Arabidopsis thaliana: one gene and its partners. The protein of the gene in region 1 interacts with the protein of each later gene in a pairwise test. Each region holds a gene or a part of one and is shown on either strand. Other genes may lie near its edges.

Region 1 (8,925 bases):
CACATATAGACGATACAAATACATTTTGGCAGATATTGAAACCAAAAAGACGGAACAAAATTTTGAAGAGAAGCAATATAAGAGTTTCAGACCTATATGAGAATAAGAACTAATTTCAAGATCAACGAGATTATATAACTACTACCATGTAGAAGTAAAGATATACATAAAAGGTAAGAACGAGGTTCTAATGTCCAAGATCATATTCAGGCAGATAACTTTTTTTTTTTTTTTTTTTGAGCAAATATGGGCCTAATTCCTTTTTTTAGCATACAATCCAGATATTGAGAATGAATCTTATTTTTGAAAATATGGGCCTCTTACCAAAGCCTATTTAGTCTAAAGTGAGAATTGTTAAATGTAAAAAGGCATGCTCATATTAAAGAATAAAAATTCACCAAACTCTGTTGCAGAAAAGTCTTAACCAACATAACATTAAACTGCTTTCACATAGAAAGCAAAAGTCTTAAACAACATTACATTAACTCCTTTCACATAAACAGAAAAGTCTTAAACAACATTACATAAACTCCTTTCACACAGACACAAAAGGCTCTTTCTTGCTCAACGCATCAACACTCTTAGTTCAAGATTTCACCTGTAATGGGTGAAACATGTTGGCTCGTAGACTTCTGCCCATTTTTCGAACCGACCACTACCATAGGCTTTGGTGGTATCAAACCGGCCCTGAAAAGCATGCTTTCCACTGTGTCTGTTGGTTGAGCTCCAACAGATAACCAGTACCTGCATTATTCGAGTACCATAGAGTGAAAATCAATTTCTTTCAACAGTTGCACAAAATAAAAAAGAAGTTTAGTTAGACACCAAGAACTGTGTGGATTTAGACTTTTAAACCAGTCTAATCAAATCAATCATACAAGCAAAACCAAGCCTCACAGAAAACTTGCACCAGATGAAATGCATTAGGTGTAGAAACAACCAAACATGACTGAGAGAAGCAAATGAATTAAGGATTGTAGCCTTATGCAAATAGAGTTTTGGACACAGAATCAACAGAAAGCATCTCAATTTGTCACAATCTAAGCAATTAGGCAGCATCATTGTGGCAAGAACAAGTTTATGACCTTGCAGAATACTAAAGAGAATGAATTAAGATGATTAAAAGACAAACAAGAAAACACATTCATGAGGAATAATCAATCATATGGATAATGTCGAGAAAGAGACTCTTTAGTGTTTCAGTCTTATCAAACAATCATGAGTTTCACATCTAACTGGTGTCCTAAAATACTTGACACAATTATACAAGCAAACAGGAATATGAAGATGATAGAACAAGTAAAAAAAACATACTTGATTCTGTCGAATTTGAGGCTCACTCTATCCGCATCTTCTTTGCCTGAAGACGTACAAGTAGATTCATGATAGCAGAGACATTAGGAAGTGTTCAATTTTACTGAGAATTGAGAAATGTATATAGAGGAGAAATAACGAACCTTGGAGTGGATCATAAAAGCCTAACACCTCGATTTGTTTACCGTCCCTGCGCGATTTTTCATCGGCGACAACTACACGATAGAAGGGTCGGTGTTTACAACCAAGACGCGCGAGCCTTATCTTCACCGTCATCTCTGCTTGGAAATTGAGGTCTGAGAAGTGAGAAGAAAGAAGATAAGTAAAGGTTTTTATTTAAGCTGGTGGGTTTTGGCTTTTTCCCCTTATCTGTGTTCTCTTTCTTCTGTTACGATCGTTATTGATAAGATGGGCCATGTTGGGCCAGTTTACATTTTATCTCTTTATTCACATTAAGCCCATTAGATCTGCTATACGTTTCTTTTCGTGATTTGCTATACAGAAGTCACTTATCTAAAATCTCGGATTATCCAGAAATTCCAAAATATTCAATCAGCTTCCTGTCTTTAAGGATCTTCCTAAAAGAAATTGCTTCAAAATGTTCAATTTGAGAACACCAGCATCTTGTTATCGTATAGGTGTTTGACTGTTAGTAGAGAGATATACGAAGTCCATAGTGCATGCAACAAGTTAGATATAATAAAATAAAATAAAGTTATCTCCAGTCTCAACCACTCAGATGTCGAAATTCAGAGTGATGCGTACATCCTACGAGTATGACTTTTCAAACAACCACCAACATTCACAAAAATTGCAAAAGCTTCTACAAAGATAACCAAATTAACCACCACCAAACACAAACCTTCTTCCTGTTAAATCATTGCTACAGTTTAGCTGTCGTTTTCAATTCTAAGGTTCACACAAGATTAAACGAGCTCATCTATCAAGAGTTATTATGATCCATTCATCATCTTCTCCATTTCAACACTACAATTTGCTAACCCAAGATTCACAATCACAATCTGATCAACCAAATTAAAGAGCCATCAAAGAAAGCGATCAGTTAATGAACAATGAATCCTAAAATGCGAGTTATTTAATTTCCATCATGTACAATGAGATCTTCAGAAGCATCCGAATTACTTACTACTAAAGAGGAATTGAAATTGAACTAACAAATTTACACATCAATTAAACCCAGAAACTGAGAAATTCTACCGAGAGTTCTTGAAGAAACCATCCCATCGCCTTGTGAAACTTCGAAATCCCAACACAATCAGCACTTGAATTTCATGCCGAGACCATGCTTACCACGAACGATACCAGGCTTCAAAAACGGAGATATCTTCGAGGCATAGACCTTGGCGATTGCTCTTTTCCCCAGTTTCCTCATCCTTTGTCTCCCCACCTTCTTACTCACGCTACGCGGAACCAACTCTTCGTCAAGATCATACGAATCGTCGTACTCGCGATCTTCTTCGCCGTCGTCATTAACACTATCTCCGTACGTAATTCCAACAGAATAACCAGAACCTCCACCGAGAAACATCATCCGCTGCTGAGACCATCCAAGATCATTCTCATCAACTTCATCGCGAACGACATCATCGCCAACATCATCATCACCATCCAGATCCACGGCGAGATCACCACCGTCAGCAATAGGAATTATCTCATGCGGCGGAGAAATGACAGAGGGTGCGACAAAGGAAGCGTCGTCAAGAGATATGACGTCATCGTCGGAAAGACTATCGACGGAGAAAGAATCGTCGGAGAACTCGCCATCAGAAGGATTAACAACTTCCCAGAGATCGAGATCAACTTCTTGATCGAGAATGAGAGGAGACATGGTGATAACCCTAGATCGCTGCGCCATTTTCGAAATTGTGTGTTGTTTAGAGGTTGCTTCTTTGATTTTTCAAGACTGTTTGTTTTTGATAACCAGAGGAAGTTACCCTATTAATAGAGGCAAACCACCGAGTGTTATCTTGTGCTAATTGGTAGTTACACTGTTGAAGATACGTATTTACAACCAGTTATATGTTGCCACGTAAGGATTATTTTGCCACCTCAGCGTCGCCAGAAAGTTTGCCAGTAAATAAATAAGTGGACATGTAAATTTGATGTCGTACATTTATGATAATAAAAACTAAAAAGATACCTTTTCTTCCATTTTTTTAGAATATACCTTTTTTTCCTTTCAACATCTATAATTTGATCATTTCTTTCTAATTTTGTTAATTTCTGATTATATTAAACACATTTTCTCTGTTTTCTGTTTTTTTAATCTAATTAACACATAAGAAAAAGGGAGTTAAAAAGAATAAATGTACTCTCCATTTCCATTTGATGATATTCTTTAAGTTTCGTGGCTCTTTTTCAATTTCATTGGCTCTGACATTTTGTTTTTAATTAAAAAGGAAGAAACAAACAAAATGTGAATCCTTGTGAGTTGGCTCACTGGCAAAAAAGAAAGAAAAAAAATTCAGAAGCCTTTGTTTTCATCGATGAATAAATTAACAAACAAAACTAAAAAATAGGATATTCGCTGGCCGAATCGCGTCGATCCACATCGCAGGTGAGGGTTCCTGCAATTTATCCCTCGTGGTCTCTGAATCTCAGATCGTCGTCAACGAATCCTCCATTTTCTGAATCAAAATTTTCTGGAAACAATGGGGAGCTTGGGGACGATGCTGAGATATCCGGATGACATATATCCGCTCCTGAAGATGAAACGAGCGATTGAGAAAGCGGAGAAGCAGATCCCTCCTGAGCCACACTGGGGTTTCTGCTATTCGATGCTCCACAAGGTTTCTCGAAGCTTTTCTCTCGTTATTCAGCAACTCAACACCGAGCTCCGTAACGCCGTAAGTTCTTCTCGCTCTCGGCCTCTGTGTTGGTCAACGTCTTCAATTTTTGGAGGAATCCAGATATCTGACACTCATTTATTGTTGACGTCGGCGATGATTGGTTTCTTCTGTAGAATCCGATGGCTTTGAGAGTTTGTGTTCCACTTAGTTCAATATGAGTTATGCAGATTCTTATTAATTGATTCTGCAGTTTCTTCTGAGCTGCAGTAAATGCAGATTGTATTTTAGTGAACTATGATTCGATATGTTTCCACATATAAAATGGTGTGTGTGTTCGATCACATGCTATCAGTGTAGCTGTGTTCAGTCTTGCAGCATTTTCTTATTCAATTTTTTTTTTTTTTTCATTTTGTAGGTGTGTGTGTTCTACTTGGTTCTCCGAGCTCTTGATACTGTTGGTTAGTGTCTCTTAACTTTGCTTTCAAGATTACCTTGATACGATGAGGCTTCTCCAAAATCTGCTATATTTCTGTTTTGAAATGCTTTTATGTTAGAGCCATCTTTCTTCTTCGTGCTTCTGCTGCTAATATTATTTTTTGTACGACAGAGGATGATACTAGCATACCAACTGATGAAAAGGTTCCCATCCTGATAGCTTTTCACCGGCACATATACGATACTGATTGGCATTATTCATGCAAGTCTGAAGAGTCTCTTAACATCTTCATCTTTCACATTCCATTAATCTTTGACTGTCTAACTGACAAATTTTACTTGTTCAACTTTAGGTGGTACGAAGGAGTACAAGATTCTAATGGACCAATTTCACCATGTTTCTGCAGCTTTTTTGGAACTTGAAAAAGGGTTAGTTCTAATATTTGCTATACGCACTTCTGTTCTACTTTATAGATTTTTTCTGCTCATGTTGTCTCACGTTTATTGAGTTACTCAATTTGTTGATACTCTTATCTGCTTTCTGACAATACTAATTACCTCATTTTTAACATATGCTTTTGTATATGAAGGTATCAAGAGGCTATCGAGGAAATTACTAGAAGAATGGGTGCAGGGATGGCCAAGTTTATCTGCCAAGAGGTCTGTGATACAGAGCAGTTTTCGTAGTTGGATTTGTTTTTGAGTTATGGTGACAAAATGTCTTGAGCTGGACTGAGGTCTCTGTTTCAGTTAGAATTCTGTCATGCTTAATCTTTTCATAAGTCATAAATATTGGAATGCCTCATGTGATGCTTCTATGATATGACAAGTAGTAATTGTATTGAAAGTACCAAAACTTATTTATAAGTTTTGTAAAGAAATGAAATCATTTGTTTACCGATCCAGTTGATCCAGTTTTCACTATTATACACAGGTAGAAACTGTTGATGACTACGATGAATACTGCCACTATGTTGCTGGGCTTGTTGGTTTAGGTTTGTCGAAACTCTTCCTCGCTGCAGGATCAGAGGTTTTGACACCAGATTGGGAGGCGATTTCCAATTCAATGGGTTTATTTCTGCAGGTACAACAATGTATTTTGAGGTGTACAATGTTTCTTCTTCCTCAAATCTTTTGCAATTTCGGACAATTTCTATCATTGAATGATTTATAACACTGGTCTTATTTGCAGAAAACAAACATTATCAGAGATTATCTTGAGGACATTAATGAGATACCAAAATCCCGCATGTTTTGGCCTCGCGAGATTTGGGGCAAATATGCTGACAAGCTTGAGGTGCATACATACCACTCTCAAGCTCTCATCTTAGGTCTGATGTTACCCATATTGACTATTTTCTGACAGTGCCTTTTTGGTGATTTGTAAATTGTAATGTAGGATTTAAAATACGAGGAGAACACAAACAAATCCGTACAGTGCTTAAATGAAATGGTTACCAATGCGTTGATGCATATTGAAGATTGCCTGAAATACATGGTTTCCTTGCGTGATCCTTCCATATTTCGGTTCTGTGCCATCCCTCAGGTTAGAGAACGAAATATCACATAATTGTTAAGTCTTTAAACTTCACATTGAGAACTGTTTATATTGTTTTCCTCTTCATATGGAATTAGGTATTCTCCTCTTTAACTACGTCTGCACTAATATAGAATGCCTTAGAAGTTAATATTGCTTTGCTTGGGTGTATTTTCTTGATTAGATCATGGCGATTGGAACACTTGCATTATGCTATAACAATGAACAAGTATTCAGAGGCGTTGTGAAACTGAGGCGAGGTAAGATGTTAAGCCTTAGAAATTATGTAGGCCAATCCCTAATTTCTATTTATGAGAAAGGAAAACCCGTTATCTTTTATTATCAACGAGCTTGAGAACGTGTAGTAGCTAGCCTTATTATCTGAAGGCTAATATCGCTGAACAACTATCTATTGTTTAGGTCTTACTGCTAAAGTCATTGATCGTACAAAGACAATGGCTGATGTCTATGGTGCTTTCTATGATTTTTCCTGCATGCTGAAGACAAAGGTAGTCATCAGTTCCATGTTTGTGATTAGTTTTTCACTCAGTTTCTGTTTAAAGAAAAGAATCATATGTGAATTTTCTATCGACATATATGACATAGGTTGACAAGAACGATCCAAATGCCAGTAAGACACTAAACCGACTTGAAGCCGTTCAGAAACTCTGCAGAGACGCTGGAGTTCTTCAAAACAGGTACAGTCTTTTATTTAATCCCAAAAGCTGCATTAAATCCTCTCACTAAGAAACTGGTCACAAGCACCTATAACTAATCTTCCAAGTATTCTAGAATAGGATGATATTATCATAATCTTTCTTTCTGGTTGGGTTTCTGCTGAATCATTGTGTCTCTTCCTTTCAGAAAATCTTATGTTAATGACAAAGGACAACCAAACAGTGTCTTTGTAAGTTACATAGTTTCCCTTTTCCATATAAGTATCTCATTTTTAAAAAAATACATAAAACTTATATTCTATATATTCTACCCGAAAATGCAGATTATAATGGTTGTGATTCTACTGGCCATAGTCTTTGCATATCTCAGAGCAAACTGAGTGATCCATGTAAGCGAGTCTGATTGTATCACCATCATTCAAGATGTTCAGAGCAAATTTGAGTGATGAAGTAATCTAGGTTGATTCTTATTCACGCCACTGAATCCTAAGCAAGATTGTTTCCAGAACAAACAGAGTTTAAGCATGGTTTAGTCTAAAACCATGGATTCTATTTTAGTTACTACCTTCGTTATCTAAACGTGCATTTGTTCATCTATTTTTATTCCTTGTGTTTAAAGTTCTTTCTTTGTTTAGTTGCGTTTCTTCTTTCGTTCTCTTTTGGCATGTTTTAAGATTAATTTTACCAACAACAACCAGATAAAATCCAAATGCAATAAGAAAGAAAGAAAAATGACAATCGAAGACTGAAATCTCTTCTTTCTTTTTAGGTCGGCAAAAAAGTCTCTTCAAAGTATATAAAACAAAAACATGAATCAAGATTAGATTTATCTTTTTAACGTTAAGTGTGTAGCACGCGGCAAGCAATTTAAATGCAAAAATAGAACATAGTTGGACCAGTAACATGTATCACCGTGGCAAGCTTAAGAGCAAGGCTAATAGCGATTCTGTGGAAGTGCAAGGTATGCAAAGGCCGTGGGGTCTATTGATTTATTAATAGGGCCATATTTGTTGAATTATAGCACATGGCCTACCATTTTGTTCCCCAACAAATCCTCCATTGTTTCAAACGAGTTCTGTTTTTTCTCCTCTGTTTCTAAAAATGGGAAGCTTGAGTACGATTTTGAGACATCCGGATGAGTTATATCCGCTCTTGAAGTTGAAACTTGCGATTACGAAAGCTCAGAAGCAGATTCCACTTGAGCCACACTTAGCTTTCTGTTATTCAATTCTTCACAAAGTTTCTAAAAGCTTTTCTCTTGTTATTCAACAACTTGGCACCGAGCTTCGTAACGCCGTATGTTTTTTTTTTTTTCTATATATAGCTATGTTACATTTTTAGTTACAGCAATATTTCAAACATTTTCTTTGTTTTTATTAGGTGTGTGTGTTCTACTTGATTCTCCGAGCTCTTGATACTGTTGGTTAGTGCTTCATAACTATAGTATCCATATATTACCTTTGATTTGATGAGTCTTCTTCTCCAAGTCTTTTGGTTTTTTAATTCTTGATGATAGAAAAAGTTAGTATCATCTTCTCATATTTTTGCTACTACAGAGGATGACACAAGCGTACCAGTGGAGATCAAAGTTCCAATTCTGATAGCTTTCCACCGTCATATATACGATGGTGACTGGCATTTTTCATGTAAGTAATAAGAAGAGACTTTTCACATCTTAACCTTTCAGATGAAATTCTTTTCTTTTAACTTAATTACTCTTCATTCAATTTTAGGTGGTACAAAAGAGTATAAACTTCTAATGGACCAATTTCACCATGTTTCTGCAGCTTTTCTGAAACTTGAAAAAGGGTTAATTTGCTATATACAAATTCTGTTCTGTTTTTTATAAATGTTCTTGCTCATTTATTGATTGATCTACTGAATTTGGTGATACTAATTTTATGTTTTGTTTTACTAACTTATATATACAAAAAAGGTATCAAGAGGCTATTGAAGATATAACTAAAAGAATGGGTGCAGGAATGGCCAAGTTCATTTGCAAGGAGGTTTGTGATACACAGAATCTTTGTGATGTAGATTTTATTTTTTTCAGTTTTGAAGTTAAGCATCAAAACTTCTGAAGAGCTGAACTTATTTGTGTATTGGACAGGTAGAAACAATTGATGACTATGATGAATACTGCCATTATGCT
Region 2 (8,825 bases), on another chromosome or scaffold:
CTGACATAAAAAGTTTCGATGATGTTAGAAAGTAATACATGAAAAATGCATACATGAGTACCATGCTTATGTTTTGTTTCCTAGATCACTAACCATAAGACATACCGTCAATTTCATTTGTTTCGGATTGCGGGAACTGGATGACTGCATAGATTTCCAAAGCGTTAAGTAGAGGTGGAAGAGTTGATCGGTTGGTTCTTGTTAGCTGCAAACTACATTTCCCTTCTTGGCAAGTTTTTGGGGTCACACTTTGGACACTAGTTATGTCAAGTTTCTTAGGAATGATAGGGTCAGAAAAAACTTCTCCGTTAAATAGGATGTTGAATTCTCTGGTATCATTTGCCTGCAAGTCTTGGATCTCAGCAAAGTGTGCGTACAAGTAATATTGGTCCCTGGGACTTCCTGACTGGGACTTCCTGAAGGCCATTCAATCGTCAATGGTGCACTGGCATTAGTCGGTGTGGCAGCATTTCTTAGCGCATCTTTCGGTGGAGCATAATTGTTGGAATTGTTCACTTCAAGAGCGGTATAAATCTGGGTCCATCCCGTCCGAAAACTGGCTCCATATGATACCCATGTGCGATCATATACATCTTTCATGTAGCTGGGGGTGGGAAACAATGTTGTTTTAGTAGTAAAACAAAAAAAAATGATCATATTGATTGCCTTAAAACCTTATGTATGACCTTTTCTAAGTGTCAATGAAAACAACCCTTGTATTGAAACAGAGCAGAAAGAACAAACAATGATCAGTTGAAGTTAACTTACCGTAGATCAGATCCTGACTTGCTAAGATATGTTCGTGATAAAAGATTCAAGGAACCAGACTTAGTGATATAAGAACCATTTCCCATAATTCCAAAGCCGATATTAGCGGTATAGTTTCCCCAGTCTTAACAAGACAAATCTGCAAAGAGTTTGATGTTGGGATGTGTAAGATCTCTTCCGCTGTACCATTAACTTCTGTTTGCAAATCCACCGTGGCCCATAGATTAGGTCCAAGATACAGATCAAACTTTGGCTTAAGGTCAAAACCATCATAATTTCCATATACAAACCTAGCCACAATCAAATGTGTCCTGCCCTTCTCAACGTTTAGATTGTAGCAGTTCCTTATTCCATCTGGAAAATATCTCAGCGTACGGCTTAGCGTATCCCTGAGGATTTTCTCGGATTCGACCGTTTTTTCCACTACGTATGAACTTTTCATCCGAAGAGAACCGCAGTCCAGTGAAACTCTCTTCATAAGGAGACAGTTCATTCGCAGGGAGTCCGCAATCCAAACTGATGAATCCTGTTGGCAGACATTTATAAAGATTATTCTTTAAAACAATGCACTTCTGAGAACCAAAAAGTTTGTAAAAGAATGTGTTTAAAAGGGAAAAAAAAGGTTTCTGATACCTTGTTGGTCTTGAGCTCGAACAATATGAATGATGGAGACTAGCAGGAACAAAAGGCCAAGAGAATTCTTCATATAATCATCTTCTCTAACCTTCCAAGGAAAAATCAAGAAAACCATTTGGCTAGGAAGAAAATGTAAAAGCCGAAAGAAAGACTTTGCCAAGCCAAAAGAAATGAGTAAATGCATTTTCTATTCAACAAAATGAATAAGAAAAAGAGGACAGCAAAGTCCCAACATCACTATCATGAACTCAATCATGGAAGATATGGAGCAGACCCAGAAGCACGTTAAGCAATAAACTATCACATCAATTATATTTGACATAGCCTTAAGTGAATGGTGAGCCTAATAATTTCAGAGTACAGATAAATGTATGTTGAGAAATCACAATCCATAATCTGTTTCTTTAATTTTATATACTATTTGACAGTTTTAAATCAATACTCTTCCAACCATTTTACAAATATTTAACCAAAATCATTTGTTTGTTAATGATGGAACCACAAAGAGGTATACTCTTTTACGGTCAATGATTATTAGCATCCAAGCCACACATACAAAGAATGAAAACATCACTAAGCACACATAAAATAATGAAAACATCACCAAGTAACAGGGTATATGATCTTGGCATGTGGATGATCAAAGCAAACATGACCAATAGCCCAACTAATTAGCATGGTTGTGTTACCTGCAGCACATACTACCTTGCCCTCGGAAACAACTCTGTGTCAAAGCTCATGCTCACTTTAAGAGAATTCTGAGAGTCCATATTCATATTTTCCCTCAAGTTTTCAGAAACAAGACATTCTTTCAGTTCATTAGCAACTTGGGACATGTTTGGTCGGTTCACAGAAGAAGGATTCGCACACGACATTGCCAGTTCAAGAACTCTCCATACAGAACGAGATTCGTAATCCCCGTTCAGGTTTGGATCCATGATCTTAGTAATATCTCCTCGGGTAAGCTCAAATCCAACCCATTGTGATATGTGAGACTTTGAACGGGACTGGTCAATCACAGGTTGGTTTGTGATAATCTCCAATAACACAATTCCGAAGCTGTACACATCGCTCTTCTCACCCAGTCGAGTTGTCTGGTAATATCTGCACGGCAAAAGTACATGGTTATACTCTCTAACCAATATATAAAGTGCAAAATGACAACTCACTTTCAGCACATTGTAATGGTAACTAACGACACTTACTCAGGATCAAGGTATCCAGGAGTACCAGCAACCACAGTTGAAATATGTGTTTCACCTCCAATAGGGAAAGATCTCGAAAGGCCGAAATCGGCAAGCTTGGCCTTTAACTGTTCGTCCAGCAATATGTTTGTCGTTTTTATATCTCTATGTACAATTGGTGGTGTGCATCCAGAATGTAGATATTCCAATCCTATTCAAAGGAATGATTATTTGTTAGTCCACCAGAAGGAAAGTCATTTTAAGCTGCCAATATTGGCTAATAAGCTTACGAACCTAGTGCAGCCTCCAGAGCTATTCGTAGACGATTACCCCAGTTGATAAAGGACCCACCGCTTTTTCCTGAATACTTGATTCTTTAGATCCTTGGGAACGTTGAAACATATATACACTTTCGAATCATGAAGAAATTCAAGTTTACCAGATAGATGTTGTCTTAAGTCTCCCTTGGGCAAAAACTCATAGATGAGAGCCAAGTGATCTCTTTCATCGCAATATCCAACAAGACTCACCAAATTTGTATGGTGAACTCGTAGAAGAAGATCAACCTAATCATTCATGGGAAATAAAAGTAAGAGAAAGCGTTAGATGGTCATATTTTTAAGAAGATTATGCATACCTCTGCCTTAAAATGCTTATATCCTTGACTTGATGATTGAGAGAGAACTTTAACAGCCACCTGTTCAGAACCATTTATAGTACCATGACAAACAACACCGAATCCTCCTTCCCCTACAACTCTTTGAAAATTATTCGTCATTTTGATAACCTCTGAATAAGTAAACCTTCTCTTTTTCGTCTCGATTGATGGTTCAGGTGAATTATCATGAACCATTGGCATACTCAGTGGAGGTTGTAGAGCTATAGATAAGAAAGAAAAAAAGTAGGGTATGTAAGAATTCATCGATTTGTTGCAGTTTCTTGATTTGATGAGAGATCTCCTGCAAATTACCTCCCACAGTAGATGACTTTTTCTTACTGAGAACAAAAATAATAACCAACACAGCAACAATTATGGCCACAGAAGCAACTGATGCAACAATCACCACCGGGAATTTCTTCTTCGAGTTTTTTTCTGTGCAGGAACCAGAGAGACAAAGCCTTGGGTTGCCTTGAACTCTGCAAGAAAAAGAGTGTTGTTAAAAACATCAAATCACAAAAGGGCTGTGGAAAATAACTGTGGAATATTAAAAAGTACGTGGGAAGTTTCTTACAGTAATTCTAGTCCCTCTCTTCGAAGACCTTGAGGAAGGGGACCACTAAGATTGTTGCCGCTTAAGTTTCTATTAAAGAAGAGCAATCTTCATGCATACAGACACATGAACCAAAGGAGAACTGAAAGTAAACGAAAATATGCTGAGCAACTTACATGATCACCAACGATTTCATCTGGGCTAGAAATTCCGGCACCACTCCAGTTAGTGTGTTATTTGACAAGTCCCTAAAAGTTTATTTCCAAAATAAAGTAGAGCTCATTAGGTTTTCCTCCATCAACAAAACCAATATTAACTATGGCCATACTTACAGTTTTTCTAAATGTGTAAGGTTTTGAATTGCGGCCGCAATGATTCCAGTTAAACCGCTCGAAGACAAATTTCTGGTGATTCCAAAGCATGATAGTTAACTTATTTTGAAGATAAGTGTCAAAGTGTGCATGTTCATATCTTGGATCTTACGACTTACAAGGATAATACTCTTGGAGGTTTAGAAACATCTGTGTTGTTGCTACAGTTCAAACCATCCCACGCATACTTTTGAGGGACGCAAGGATCTCCTTGCCACCTGATTCTACTCAATTTATAGGCAGCTTCGATATTTTTAACAGCAACCACTGATGTAGAGCTCAAGGATGTGAGAATTAGCAGGTGAAGTTGATTTCTCTAGTTAAAAAAAAAAAACAGACTGTATCTGCATAACAATGAAGATAAGTAACATACCATCATTTTCATTTGTTTCCGACCGTGGAAATTGGATAACTGTGTAGATTTCAAGAGCGTTAAGTAGAGAAGGAAGAGTTGACCTCGAGGTTTTTATTAGCTGGTAAATGCAATTTTCTCCTTTGCATGTCACTGGAGAAAGATTATGGATAGTAGTCACCCCTAACTTTGGAGGGATGAAACCTTCTTCAACAACAGCTCCATCCCATAATATGTCAAATTCTCTGGTATCATTGGTCTGTAAATCTTGTATCTCAGAGAAGTGGCTGTACAAGTAATATTGGTCACCAGGATTGTCTGGTGGCCAACTGATTGTCAATGGCGCGCTGGCATTAGAAGGCGTGGCAGCCGCTGCAAGAGCCTTTTTTGGTGGTTCATAATTGTTATCATTGGTCACTTCGAGAGTGGTGAAAATTTGGGTCCAATCATCCACCATAAAGTAATTATGCCATCTGCGATCATAAATATCATCCGGGTACCTATGTGGAACAAAGGTTGTATTATCCTTGAATAAGTATAGGAATGTTAAAAATAAAGAGTATAGGAATATAGAATCCATCACTGTTAACCAAAAAAAAAACACTTACCGAAGAAAGCCATCTGTCTTGTTGAGATATATCCGAACGAAAAGATTCAAAGAACCATCTGTGAGATAAGAATTATTTCCTAATGGCCGTAATTCCAAGGCTGAGATCAAGGGTGTAGTTGTCCCTGTCTTAACAAGACAAACGTTCAAAGAGTTTGATGTTGGAGTGTGAAGGATCTCCTCCATTGTACCATTCACAAACTTTTGCAAATCTATAGTTGCCCACAGATTAGGTCCTAGATGCAGTTCAAATATCGGGTTAGAGTTACGACCATCGTAATTCCCATAAATGAACCTAGCCCTGATCAAATATTTCCTGTTCTTGTCAACACTCAAACTATAGCAGTTCCTTCTCTCCTCTGGAAAATACCTCAGCCTCGTGTACGGCTTAAGGTAGTCATTCTCCATACTCGCCTGGATTTTACCACTTTCACCAGTCTGGATGAATTCAGCATCAGACGAGAACCGTAGTCCGGTTACTGACTCAGTATAAGAAGACGGTTCAGTCATGGGTAACCCGCAATCCAAACTGATAAACTCTGTTAAGAGAGTGAAAAATCAAAAGCATCTCAGATACAAACATAACTAAGACTCGAATCAGTAAGAAGTAGTAGTGTAATATACATATAAACCATTAAGATTTAGGTACCTTGTTGATCCTGAGCTTGAACACAACCAATAATGGCAAAAGCTCCTAATAGCAGCAGCAAAAGCCAACAAGGACTATCCATAATTGCTTTTAGATATCAAAACCTTACCAATGCCAGAGTTTGAGAGAAACACAGCGTATAAATAGATAAACCCAAGAAACAGTCCAAGCCTCTGGCAACATGGCAAGATGTCCTGAGTCAGTGAAACGAATGAGTAAATGTGTTTTCTATTGCAACTTTACAATTACAAATTTGATTTGTCCCAAGAATGTCAGAATATATGCAACTTGTATTTAGAAAAAATAATATGCAACTTCTGTGTTTTTAAGAGAATATGTCAATAGAGGGTTTTACAGTCACCACTCTTTTAACGCATTAAAAAATGTTCACACAGAGAGAAAGCAAGAGATTTGACTTTCTAGTGGTCAGTGACTTTGATTGAATCATATCGGATAATTTATCACTAATTAATACACATTTTGACGTCTTCATCGACAAGAACAGCTTCTAATCACAAAGCAGAGGATTCACATTTATCAACAATGACTATTATCTAAAGAGAAGTGGGTCAACATGAAGAAACAAATTTCAAGACAAAGACGCCATTATCAGATATCTAAAATCATAAAGTTCAAATTTTTAAAGGATTTTCAGTTACATCATAAACTGAGAAATTACCTTCCGGCCATGAAACTGAGAGAATTTTGATTCCATCTCTTTGAGCCGGCCCAATAACTTTTGTGAGGAGGAGGACGAATGTGAGGAATCTCCGGAGATAAATCGGCCATATACGGCAGCGAAATCTCCCGTCGTGAGAAGGACGGCGATGACAATGAGACCTCTTCATCGGCGATTAGCACTGTTTGAGAACGCGATTGGCGATTTGGAGTGCTGGAGAGTAGCGTTTTAAACGCAACGGTATGTATATTTTTCAACGTTGCTATAATAACAGAAATAATTGTTATGGGCCAAACATGGGTTTTATCAGCCCATTAAACAGAAAATAATGAATTTGGAGTGCTGGAAACACGGTCGCTGGAGAGTAGCTTTTTTAAACGCAACGGTATGTATATTATTCAAGCTTACTTACAGAGTTTCTAGTTGCGTAAGATTTTGAATCGCAGCAGCCATGGTTCCAGTTAGACCACTTGAAGACAAGTTTCTGGTGACATGTCCAAAACCACATTCAAGTGTCACAACTACTAACGGATATTGAAGAGCGTCTGGTCAGAAATCGATATTCTTACGAAAAAATTACGGTCATTATTTTCGTCAGAAAATTGTGACCATTTTCATACAAAATTGTGACGTATTTATTTGGTCATAAAAACGTTACTATTTCGTTATAATATTATGACTTAATTGAATGTAACTAATGTTTGTCACTAATTATGTCAAATTTGTTACAAATTATATAGTCATAAATATAAGTACGGATTTGCGACCAAATATAGTAACTAAATTATACGATAATTGTGACTGAATTTATGTCATGTATAGTTACGAGAATTTTGTAACAACGATGACACAATTTGTCACTGTTTTAGTGACTTTTGCGTTTGGTCATAGATTGTGACATAAGTGTTACCAATTTTAATACAAAAATAAAAACTTGTGAACAAAAAATTAAATAAAAAAACTTCTTCAGTTTTGGAAACAATGTTTTTGATAATACAAAAAAAGCTGTAAAAAGTCCAAATGAAAAAAAAAATTATTCGGATTCGTCACTAGTTAATTCGATATCAGAATTTCCATCTTCAGCATCTGATCCATCTTCGGCTTCTACTACTGGATCATCAAGATCTTCTGGTTGGGCATCTAGATATGATAGTGTCTCGATTTGTAATGAATCAACTTCAACAATAGAATCATCGTTATCATGCTGCATTGCAGTGAAATCCAGATTTTTGTTATCAATACTTTCCCTCTCGGTTGTATCATAATTGCTGCTTCCCATTGTTGATCTTTTCTCGGCTGAGTCATCCGTGGATATGGAACATAACATACCTGATCTGCTTGTGAAGCCAAAACAAAAGGATCATACTCTTCATAATGCCTTTTAGCATTAATATCAATAATCCCTGACTTGTTTCTTCGTATACCTCTCCCAACTTTTGAATCATACCAATCACACTTGAAGACCACGACCTTGAGATCAACATGTCCAGGATAATGAAGCTCATAAATTTCTCTCAATATTCCATAGAAATCAGCTTCTTCATTTGAGCTAGAAGATGTTGTACCTTTGACACAAACTCCATAATTGGCATTCTTTTTGTTCTTTCCATGATCATATGTATGAAATATGTATCCACGACAAAAATACATTGGCCAACAAGTAACTTTAACCATTGGACCATGAACAATACTCAACAACCACTCTGGATATGAATTATCCTTCCAAGTATCCTCCACCTGATTCAATATAAAAAGACACATACTATATTATAAGCTATCAAGTATTTATCTCATATAAAAAAAAAATATCTTACATATTTTTTTAACCAGCTTGAATATTGCTTTTCTCTAAGCTCATTTAGATCTTTTTCACTTATCCCAGGATTAGCCGCGATCAAGCTCTCATCAAACAACCTATATATACATATATAACCATGAAAAATATTTACAATGTCTTTTACTAATTCTACAAAAAAAAACAAAATCCATACAGATGTCCAAATTATTTTGTCATACCTTTCAAATGGTCTTAATTGATCGCAGTTCCGCAAAATATATCTATGTGCGATATGGTAATCTTTATCTTGGAGCCATATCTCACTTTCTTTCCCACTGTCTCTTCCTGCCTGAGAAAATATATCTGGAACTCCATCAAACTCATGTGTATCTTCTTGATTACCACCATCATAGTGTCGATCTCCTGCTCGATTTTTTGTCTTGATGTGTCGATCAAAATAATAAGTACAAAAAGTAGAAATTTCTTCATTGATGTATTGCTCAACGATCGAACCTTCTACTTTTGCCTTATTTTTCACCTTTTTTTTTAGATGTCCCATGTATCGTTCAAAACAATACATCCATCTAAACT
Region 3 (7,314 bases), 6.1 Mb from region 1:
TTGGCTTTCATGTTTCAGAGGAATGTAGTTGCTTATGCTGAAGGCCAACCCAGAAAACTTGAAAAAGCTCTTGTTCTAAAAGATGCGATATCAGATCTTCCTCATGTATGTTTCATTTCCACTAGATCCATCTGCAATTCAGGGTTAATATATATTTATAATTTCTTTTCACATATCTAGGTATCAAACGATGAAGACCGGGAGAAATTGCCTTATGAAAGTCTCCCAAAAACAGATTTTCAGAGGTACATTAGATCAACCAAACGTGGTAAGTTGGATCTGGATTCTGTAGTTACGGTCTCTTTCACAACAATTGTCTGATAAGCCATGACCACTTGCATATTACATATGGTAGCTCACGCGTTAGTGTTTTGCTATGTCAGATTTGACAGGCTCTGCAATTGATAACTGTAACAAAAGAACAATGCTACTGCATGATCACAGGCCGTTCCATATAAATGAAGACGACTATGCCCGAGTTTGCCAAATCCCCAAGAGGAAGGTACTCATTTCGTTTTACTAATTAACAATCCCGATCCTCTAGCCGAAAGATTCTCATGTCGAGAGAAGTGTTTGCAGGGAGCTAATTTCAGGGATCTTCCGGGGTTAATCGTCAGAAACAATACAGTATGTCGTGATCCATCAATGGAACCGGTTATTCTGCCATCAGGAAAGCCTTTGGTAAAGAATCCTCTTATATGAACTGAGCCATACCAAAATTACATGAGTTATCGATGAAACTACACATTAGTGCTGAAATTCTCAAGCTAATGTCATTCTGCTTGTTAAGTCTGCTGTCAACAGTTCTCATAATCCCAAAAATTAATATATGTGTACTGAATCAGCTCACTTGTGGCCCTCCTTAGGTACCAGGATACGTCTTTACTTTTCAGCAAGGGAAATCTAAAAGGTATACTCTTACACTCCTCCGCCTGAAACTATTTGTTGAAGCTTTCATGTTTTTAAGTCTCTCTGGATTTATAAAATTCGCAGACCGTTTGCTCGTCTTTGGTGGGATGAAACTGTTCCAACCGTTCTAACAGTCCCAACATGCCACAGTCAGGTACCCTCAAAGCCATTCCAGGTTTTAACATAATACCATATTTTAAATTCTTAAAAGTTTCTATAAGAAGTTTGCTATTTGCAGGCGTTATTGCATCCTGAGCAAGATCGAGTGCTAACCATAAGAGAATCTGCACGGCTTCAAGGTTTCCCTGATTACTTCCAGTTCTGTGGAACCATTAAAGAAAGGTACTTGCTTTTGTTCATTTGGAAAAAATTATAAGAACCAGGACAATAGTTTCAGACTACTAAGCAAATGCGAATATCATTTCACTTCTTCTCACTATCTACAGGTATTGTCAGATTGGAAATGCAGTGGCAGTCTCGGTTTCTCGTGCTTTAGGTTATTCGCTTGGTATGGCTTTTCGTGGTCTAGCCCGCGACGAGCATCTTATAAAACTTCCCCAAAACTTTTCGCATTCAACTTACCCTCAGCTTCAAGAAACCATTCCTCATTGAAGCAGAGGACATTAAACAAGTTTGTTATTAGTTCCTCTCCATGAGGCTTCGTCAAAATGATCAATTTTGTTCTTTAGTTTTTCCTTGTGTTAGTGAATTGTGACATCATAGCGGCTGGCCAGCTCAGTCTACTATGCTCGATCGAAATTTCGGTTTGATTAGGATTTTTCGATTAGTAAATTCTTCAAAAATTAATCTTATTTTAGCCAACTAATATGTAATTTATTCTTTGTTGGGTAATTAGATGAATAATAATTGGTCTTCTTTCTCACATTTTAGTGGATGAAAAGTTTCCTCATTGTTTTCTTCTTTATTCATCACAAATGAAAAGTTTCCTGATGTTGCATGAGAAAAATATGAGGTGAATGATTTGGGATGTGTGCCATTCGTTAGAGATTGGTATGTGGTGGATGATGTTTAGTTTTGATCTATCAGGTCAAACCAACACGTGCCGTGCCCGGCTTTTAAGTTCTATGGACAAAAGTATTGCCCCACTAGGCAAATGATTGTGACTCCGGATCTTGTGCTTTCCTTTGACAAATTCCAAATTCTACATATTCAACAATTTTGCTTAAAACTTTAAAGTTTGATCTTTCTAGAATTGAATTTTATTATTTAAAAAATATACGATACAGTTACACATTAATAACAAGATAGAGAATCTTGGCGTTAACAATAAAAGAGATAAACGTAGCAATTAATACAAAGGCCATATACGTAAGGTGTGGTGAAAGTTGTTACATTCATTTGAAAATACTCCATCAACTCCACCCATGTTTTCTTTTCTCTTATCAAGTGCTACCGATTCTCACGGTCTTTAGAAATGAACCACTTTTAGTGATTTCTCGCAATGGTTTATCGGTATATCTAACTGTGTTATAAACCCATGCACCCGCAATCGCACCAAGAGTTGGCGCAACTAAGTATATCCAAATTCCTTTGTAGCAACCATAGACCAGTGCAGGTCCTAAACTTCTTCCTGGATTCATCGACGCACTCGATACCGGTCTAATAAAATTGATGAACATAACCGTATAAATCATTTTTTGGAATTCTTACTCTAAAAAAAAAAAGTATAAGCACAATAATAGAAATGGTAACTGATAACTTACGCGGCAATTAGCACGTTAAGTAGCACCGTTGATCCTATTGCTAATCCAGCAAGTTCTCCGATCTGAATATTGCAGCATTTGGTCCCAATGTTAAGTTTCTCGTAAATTTAAAGACCACAGAAAACAAATGTAACTTCTGAGAGGGAGCAGTAATTAATAACACTAATATAAGCCATCGAATTTGACAACATAAGAAGATATGAAAATACTAACCGCTCTATTATCGGTAGCAACGCCAGAAATGATGAACATTAGATAGAAAGTGACGATAAACTCCATCGTAAACGCCTGAAGATCTGATCCCACTGGTGATGATCCGATAAACACATCGTGTTTTCCGCTACAAACGTCGTGATCAAGTCCGAACAACAACCGTAATGTCGCAGCCGCGAGCGTTGATCCTATCACTTGTGATATGACATAAGCTGGAACCTAAAAAAATTCAAAGAACAAAAATAAAATAAATTAATTCACCAGTTCACACTAACTAGGGAAGGGACCCAATCTTGGAAGATATTTTGACGTTTATATAACAAAATATGGACGTGTGGAAAAACTATATACATACAAAAGTTACATAACATTTTAATTTATTTTGGAAACTAGCAAAAGTAGATTTGTCCTTACGTATCTTCACTCATCTATAGTAAACGTTGCATTAAAAACGCTACGTATTTGAATAACCCAAAGTCTCGTGTGCAATACAAGCAACCGATAGCTAAACTAGATCAATGGAAACAAAATACACTAATGTTCTTTAATTAGTTTGTTCATGAAACTCAAAAACACACATAAAATACAAAACTTGATCGATCATTATATAAAGGCTATATGTAATTGTGTATGTGTTAAGGACCTGTTTGAGAGGGAAACGGCCACAAGAGGCGAAGGCAATGGTAACGGCCGGATTGATATGAGCACCAGAGATGTGACCAAGAGAGTAAATGAGGACCATAATGGTGAGTCCCCAAACGATAGCGATCCCTGGAAGAGTCACGACATTGTCGTTTTGCATGTTTACAACCACCGATGCACAACCGGTGAATACCAAAAAGTAGGTTCCAAGAAACTCCGCGATCAACTGAAAACATAGCGTAAATAAAACCGAGATGTCTTGTGAATTGGTACAAAACAGAGTCTTTTCATTTATAACTTGTAAAACATGTTGGATATGGAGAGTTAAAAGTAAAAACCTTTTGTAAGAAAGGGACAGAGACTGAGAGTAGAGAGTCTTGTTTCTTCAAGGGTCTTGGGTTATGAATGTCTTCCATTTCTTGTTGATGTTCGACTTCATCCTTGAGATTCACCATTACTACTTCTTCTCTGGCGTTGCCATAGCCGTTTCCCGAGATATCCGCCATAAGTGACTTTTCTCTTTTTAGAAACAAAGAAGAGGAAAAGGATTGAACTATAAACGACTGTTTATGACTTGTGAGAATGAGAAGTTTGGTAGCGATTATCTCCTATTTATTGGCAAACATGGGGGAGAGAGAGACTTCTTTGACGATTTTAATATTACCAGTTTATTAATTGAAAAAAAGAAGAAGATGATATATTGTTAATAAAGCTTTTTTAATAATAATAAATTCCTATGTTTGTGGAGATTCTATACCAGGTCTCAAATTCAATTTTCAGGGATTACAATTTTTTCTTAGATCAACAAATATAAAATTTATCGAAAATTTTAGAATGCTACATGCAGAATTTGTTTGTTTTGATCTTGTGTGTTGTGCAGAGAGCCTATATCATTCGTGCATGTCGTACATGCATAACCATCCGCGCCTAGGATTCAAATGTTGCATACTTGCAATCTACTTTTTGTTTTTAAATTTTTATTCTACTTTCCAAATATTCATTTATAATCACATAAGTATATATACGTCATTTTATGCGTTGTTTGTATTTCACATAAGTATTCATTTAGAACATCTCATATCGAATTCTGAATTTCGGATATAAAGTCACCGGTCATATGTTGTTACACCCAAATTTGTTCGTATCATATAAACAAAACAAAATTATGTCATGCAAACTATAGAATAAACTATATCATTTATGAGAAATTGAAAAATGTCACTAGATGGAATTGATGATGGCCTCTTTAAGTCTTCAACTACCAAGCGGGTAATACGGACATACTTTATTTAGCTTATAGTTGTGCATGTGTACATATGTACACAACATTATAAAAATTACTAAAAAATTTCAAGATATTTTATATATACCTTGATGCCAACGTAACAATCTTGATTGCGATCCGTAAACTTAATGTAGTGTACTGTTTGGATCCGATCATATCAACCTCAGGTTTGAATCCATACTAACATATAACTAAATGTTAATTATGATCAGAATGTTTTATTTGCGACAATACTCAAAATGTCATCTCTAGATTAGGTTAAGTTCGAACCCTCTTTAATGGATGTTAGAATGTAGGGTTGTGGCCACGGGCCACCAGAGAAAAAATGAAGTTTCTTTATAATGTACAATTTGAATTATCAGTAAATTAGCAATGTTAATTCCACATGTAAACACGTATGCTGGTTAATGGTGACAAGACAAATCTTAAAGACTTTCATGTTACGTATCGATCCAGATGTGCATGATGTATGGTGCCAAAAAAATAGGAGGAGTGAATATGAATTGAAATTGAGAACATACATATATGCAAAGGGAAGGTAAATAAAGAATATTTCAGAAAGAAAAAGAAACATTGATGTAAATGTAGGAGTATCAAAGTCGATCAAAATTAGTAGATCATTGACTTAACTCAACCAATGAATTGACTATCATTTTATATTATTTTAATAAGTTGATGAAATAAATGAGTTGAATGGACTGATGAATTATGGGGGCTACTTAATGTTTCCACCACGACACTCGGATTCAATTCATTAACTTTTTTACATCATCATAACTTTATTATAATCGATGATATCAAACCCATCATGATATAATCATACACCATCATATTCATCATCATCAACATCATTTCATCAGCATGACTTCCGAAGCTATTATACGTGTGCTAGATCTATATCTTTGTACGATGTGAGAGTGTTACGAGTAGTATGTGTGCATAAAGTAAATGAGACATAAATTTGTTAACGGGTCTGTTCACAACTTACATGTCAAAAATTTCTACCAAAACTATGTAACTTTTTTTATTATGACGCTCCACAATTTCTCGCTACAATGTTATTCCGTAATTTTATATTTTTAATTGCAATATATCTGGTTTACGTATCAAAGATAATGCAAAGGAAAATTTTATATAGATATTATCTTCATCTAAAATGGTTTATCAGTATATGTATTAATGTTAAAACACATTATCAATTTCACCAGGTTTTAAATAGAAATTCCAAAAAAATATATATCTAAATTTGTTTTTTGAATTTTATCTAAAAATCTTATGTGATTTCTTAAAATGCAGATATTGTAATTCAAAACCATTAATTGAATTAAAATATATTTTAATTTTTTGTAATTTTTGGAAATCATTGAATGAGATAAGATTTTGGTTCTATGTCCAAATTAGTGCAAAATCAGGAACTTGTAAGTTGTAACTAAAAGAAGCCAGGAAGGCAATTTTTTTTTCTAACTTCAGAATGCATACTTGTAATATTTTATTAAGTTTGGTTTAAATTTGAAGGTGCCACGGATCACGGGAAATCGTTTTTATTACTAATATGTTTGAGTCAAATTTCAGTCACATGTATAGTAACTGTATAATTCAAGATATGCTAAATATCTTTTAAAACTTTTGTACAACTGTATTTTAAAATCATGAATTGGATTGACATGTAATTTTCTTTTATTTTATTCGGAAATTATTGGTCGAATAATATGAAATTTGTAGTTATATATAATTTTCAAAATTAGTTCGAATCATCAATAAAAACCTCCATTATTTTTTTGCTGAAAAGATAATTTTATTTTAATTAATCAGGCCAAGCTTTGTAAGCCGAAAGACATTGTCGGGTCCAAAAAATGAAACAGTACACGTACATTAATCGAGGTTATGGTTACGTAGAAAGAAAAATATATAATCTAGTTTTTCGTTAACATTAAGGCTCAAAATAGAGCATTTCGTCTACACAACCACACTTAAATTCAGTTTTTTTACCAATTAGCTAAACAAATTATATTTGAATATAGTTTATATATAATTTTCCCGGCACTTCGGAAATGCATTGTAGTAAAACCATCGTATATTTTGACATATTAATATATTATGTTCGCATGAGAAAGGAAGGTTTTTAACTTCATCATACATACTTGTAATATTTTATTAAGTTTGATTTAAAAGGTGCCATGGATCACGGGAAATCATTTTTATTACTATTAAGTTTGATTCAAATTTCAGTCACATGTTTGGTAATCATTCTAAGATATGCTTAATATCTGTACAACCATCTTTTTGAGTTTTGACCATGGAACCAAAATTCGATAAGATTTCACGTCGAGAACAATAGTATAAAATTGATGTTACATTTATTTCACAACTTGAAATAAATAATGCTACACCGAATAAGATATATTTTGTTTAATAAATAGAAAAAATGAAACCTCTTTCCTGTAGAGGTGAAAATAATATTATTGTATATGAGTGTTTTTTCTTTGCTTAAACTTTTTCTTGTTTTGTTTTTTACATGTTAAATTTACTGACCAACAAAAA

The links.
Region 2: the proteins of SQS1 (region 1) and AT5G59650 interact in a protein complementation assay, tested with the Arabidopsis thaliana proteins (one large-scale study listed by BioGRID).
Region 3: the proteins of SQS1 (region 1) and NLM1 interact in a two-hybrid assay, tested with the Arabidopsis thaliana proteins (one large-scale study listed by BioGRID).

What each region holds. Positions count from the first base shown.
Region 1 is NC_003075.7:16,534,503-16,543,427, forward strand, and holds SQS1 (squalene synthase 1), read left to right. Parts: upstream 1-3,686; 5' UTR 3,687-3,986; coding exon 3,987-4,181; intron 4,182-4,199; exon of another isoform or gene 4,200-4,418; coding exon of another isoform or gene 4,419-4,448; intron 4,449-4,539; coding exon 4,540-4,582; intron 4,583-4,731; coding exon 4,732-4,821; intron 4,822-4,912; coding exon 4,913-4,988; intron 4,989-5,149; coding exon 5,150-5,219; intron 5,220-5,493; coding exon 5,494-5,643; intron 5,644-5,751; coding exon 5,752-5,856; intron 5,857-5,958; coding exon 5,959-6,105; intron 6,106-6,280; coding exon 6,281-6,356; intron 6,357-6,516; coding exon 6,517-6,605; intron 6,606-6,702; coding exon 6,703-6,794; intron 6,795-6,960; coding exon 6,961-7,003; intron 7,004-7,096; coding exon 7,097-7,153; 3' UTR 7,154-7,522; downstream 7,523-8,925. Other genes in the region: SSR16 (small subunit ribosomal protein 16), read right to left, coding at 582-744, 1,315-1,360, 1,458-1,590; AT4G34630 (prostatic spermine-binding-like protein), read right to left, coding at 2,591-3,190; SQS2 (squalene synthase 2), read left to right, coding at 7,875-8,069, 8,154-8,196, 8,330-8,419, 8,507-8,582, 8,710-8,779, 8,884-8,925.
Region 2 is NC_003076.8:24,028,381-24,037,205, reverse strand, and holds AT5G59650 (Leucine-rich repeat protein kinase family protein), read right to left. Parts: upstream 5,861-8,825; coding exon 5,779-5,860; intron 5,669-5,778; coding exon 5,131-5,668; intron 5,023-5,130; coding exon 4,567-5,022; coding exon of another isoform or gene 4,544-4,566; intron 4,485-4,543; coding exon 4,290-4,484; intron 4,204-4,289; coding exon 4,132-4,203; intron 4,048-4,131; coding exon 3,976-4,047; intron 3,890-3,975; coding exon 3,821-3,889; intron 3,726-3,820; coding exon 3,559-3,725; intron 3,468-3,558; coding exon 3,226-3,467; intron 3,155-3,225; coding exon 3,028-3,154; intron 2,949-3,027; coding exon 2,883-2,948; intron 2,800-2,882; coding exon 2,610-2,799; intron 2,509-2,609; coding exon 2,106-2,508; downstream 1-2,105. Other genes in the region: AT5G59660 (Leucine-rich repeat protein kinase family protein), read right to left, coding at 106-300, 378-604, 769-892, 955-1,058, 1,144-1,294, 1,402-1,519. UniProt on the Arabidopsis thaliana protein: Required for accurate photosynthesis.
Region 3 is NC_003075.7:10,419,416-10,426,729, forward strand, and holds NLM1 (NOD26-like major intrinsic protein 1), read right to left. Parts: upstream 4,094-7,314; 5' UTR 3,995-4,093; coding exon 3,827-3,994; intron 3,715-3,826; coding exon 3,490-3,714; intron 3,066-3,489; coding exon 2,847-3,065; coding exon of another isoform or gene 2,796-2,846; exon of another isoform or gene 2,696-2,795; coding exon 2,634-2,695; coding exon of another isoform or gene 2,630-2,633; exon of another isoform or gene 2,530-2,629; coding exon 2,313-2,529; 3' UTR 2,106-2,312; downstream 1-2,105. Other genes in the region: CMT2 (chromomethylase 2), read left to right, coding at 19-105, 181-268, 384-502, 580-681, 867-910, 994-1,063, 1,148-1,251, 1,356-1,521. UniProt on the Arabidopsis thaliana protein: Water channel probably required to promote glycerol permeability and water transport across cell membranes.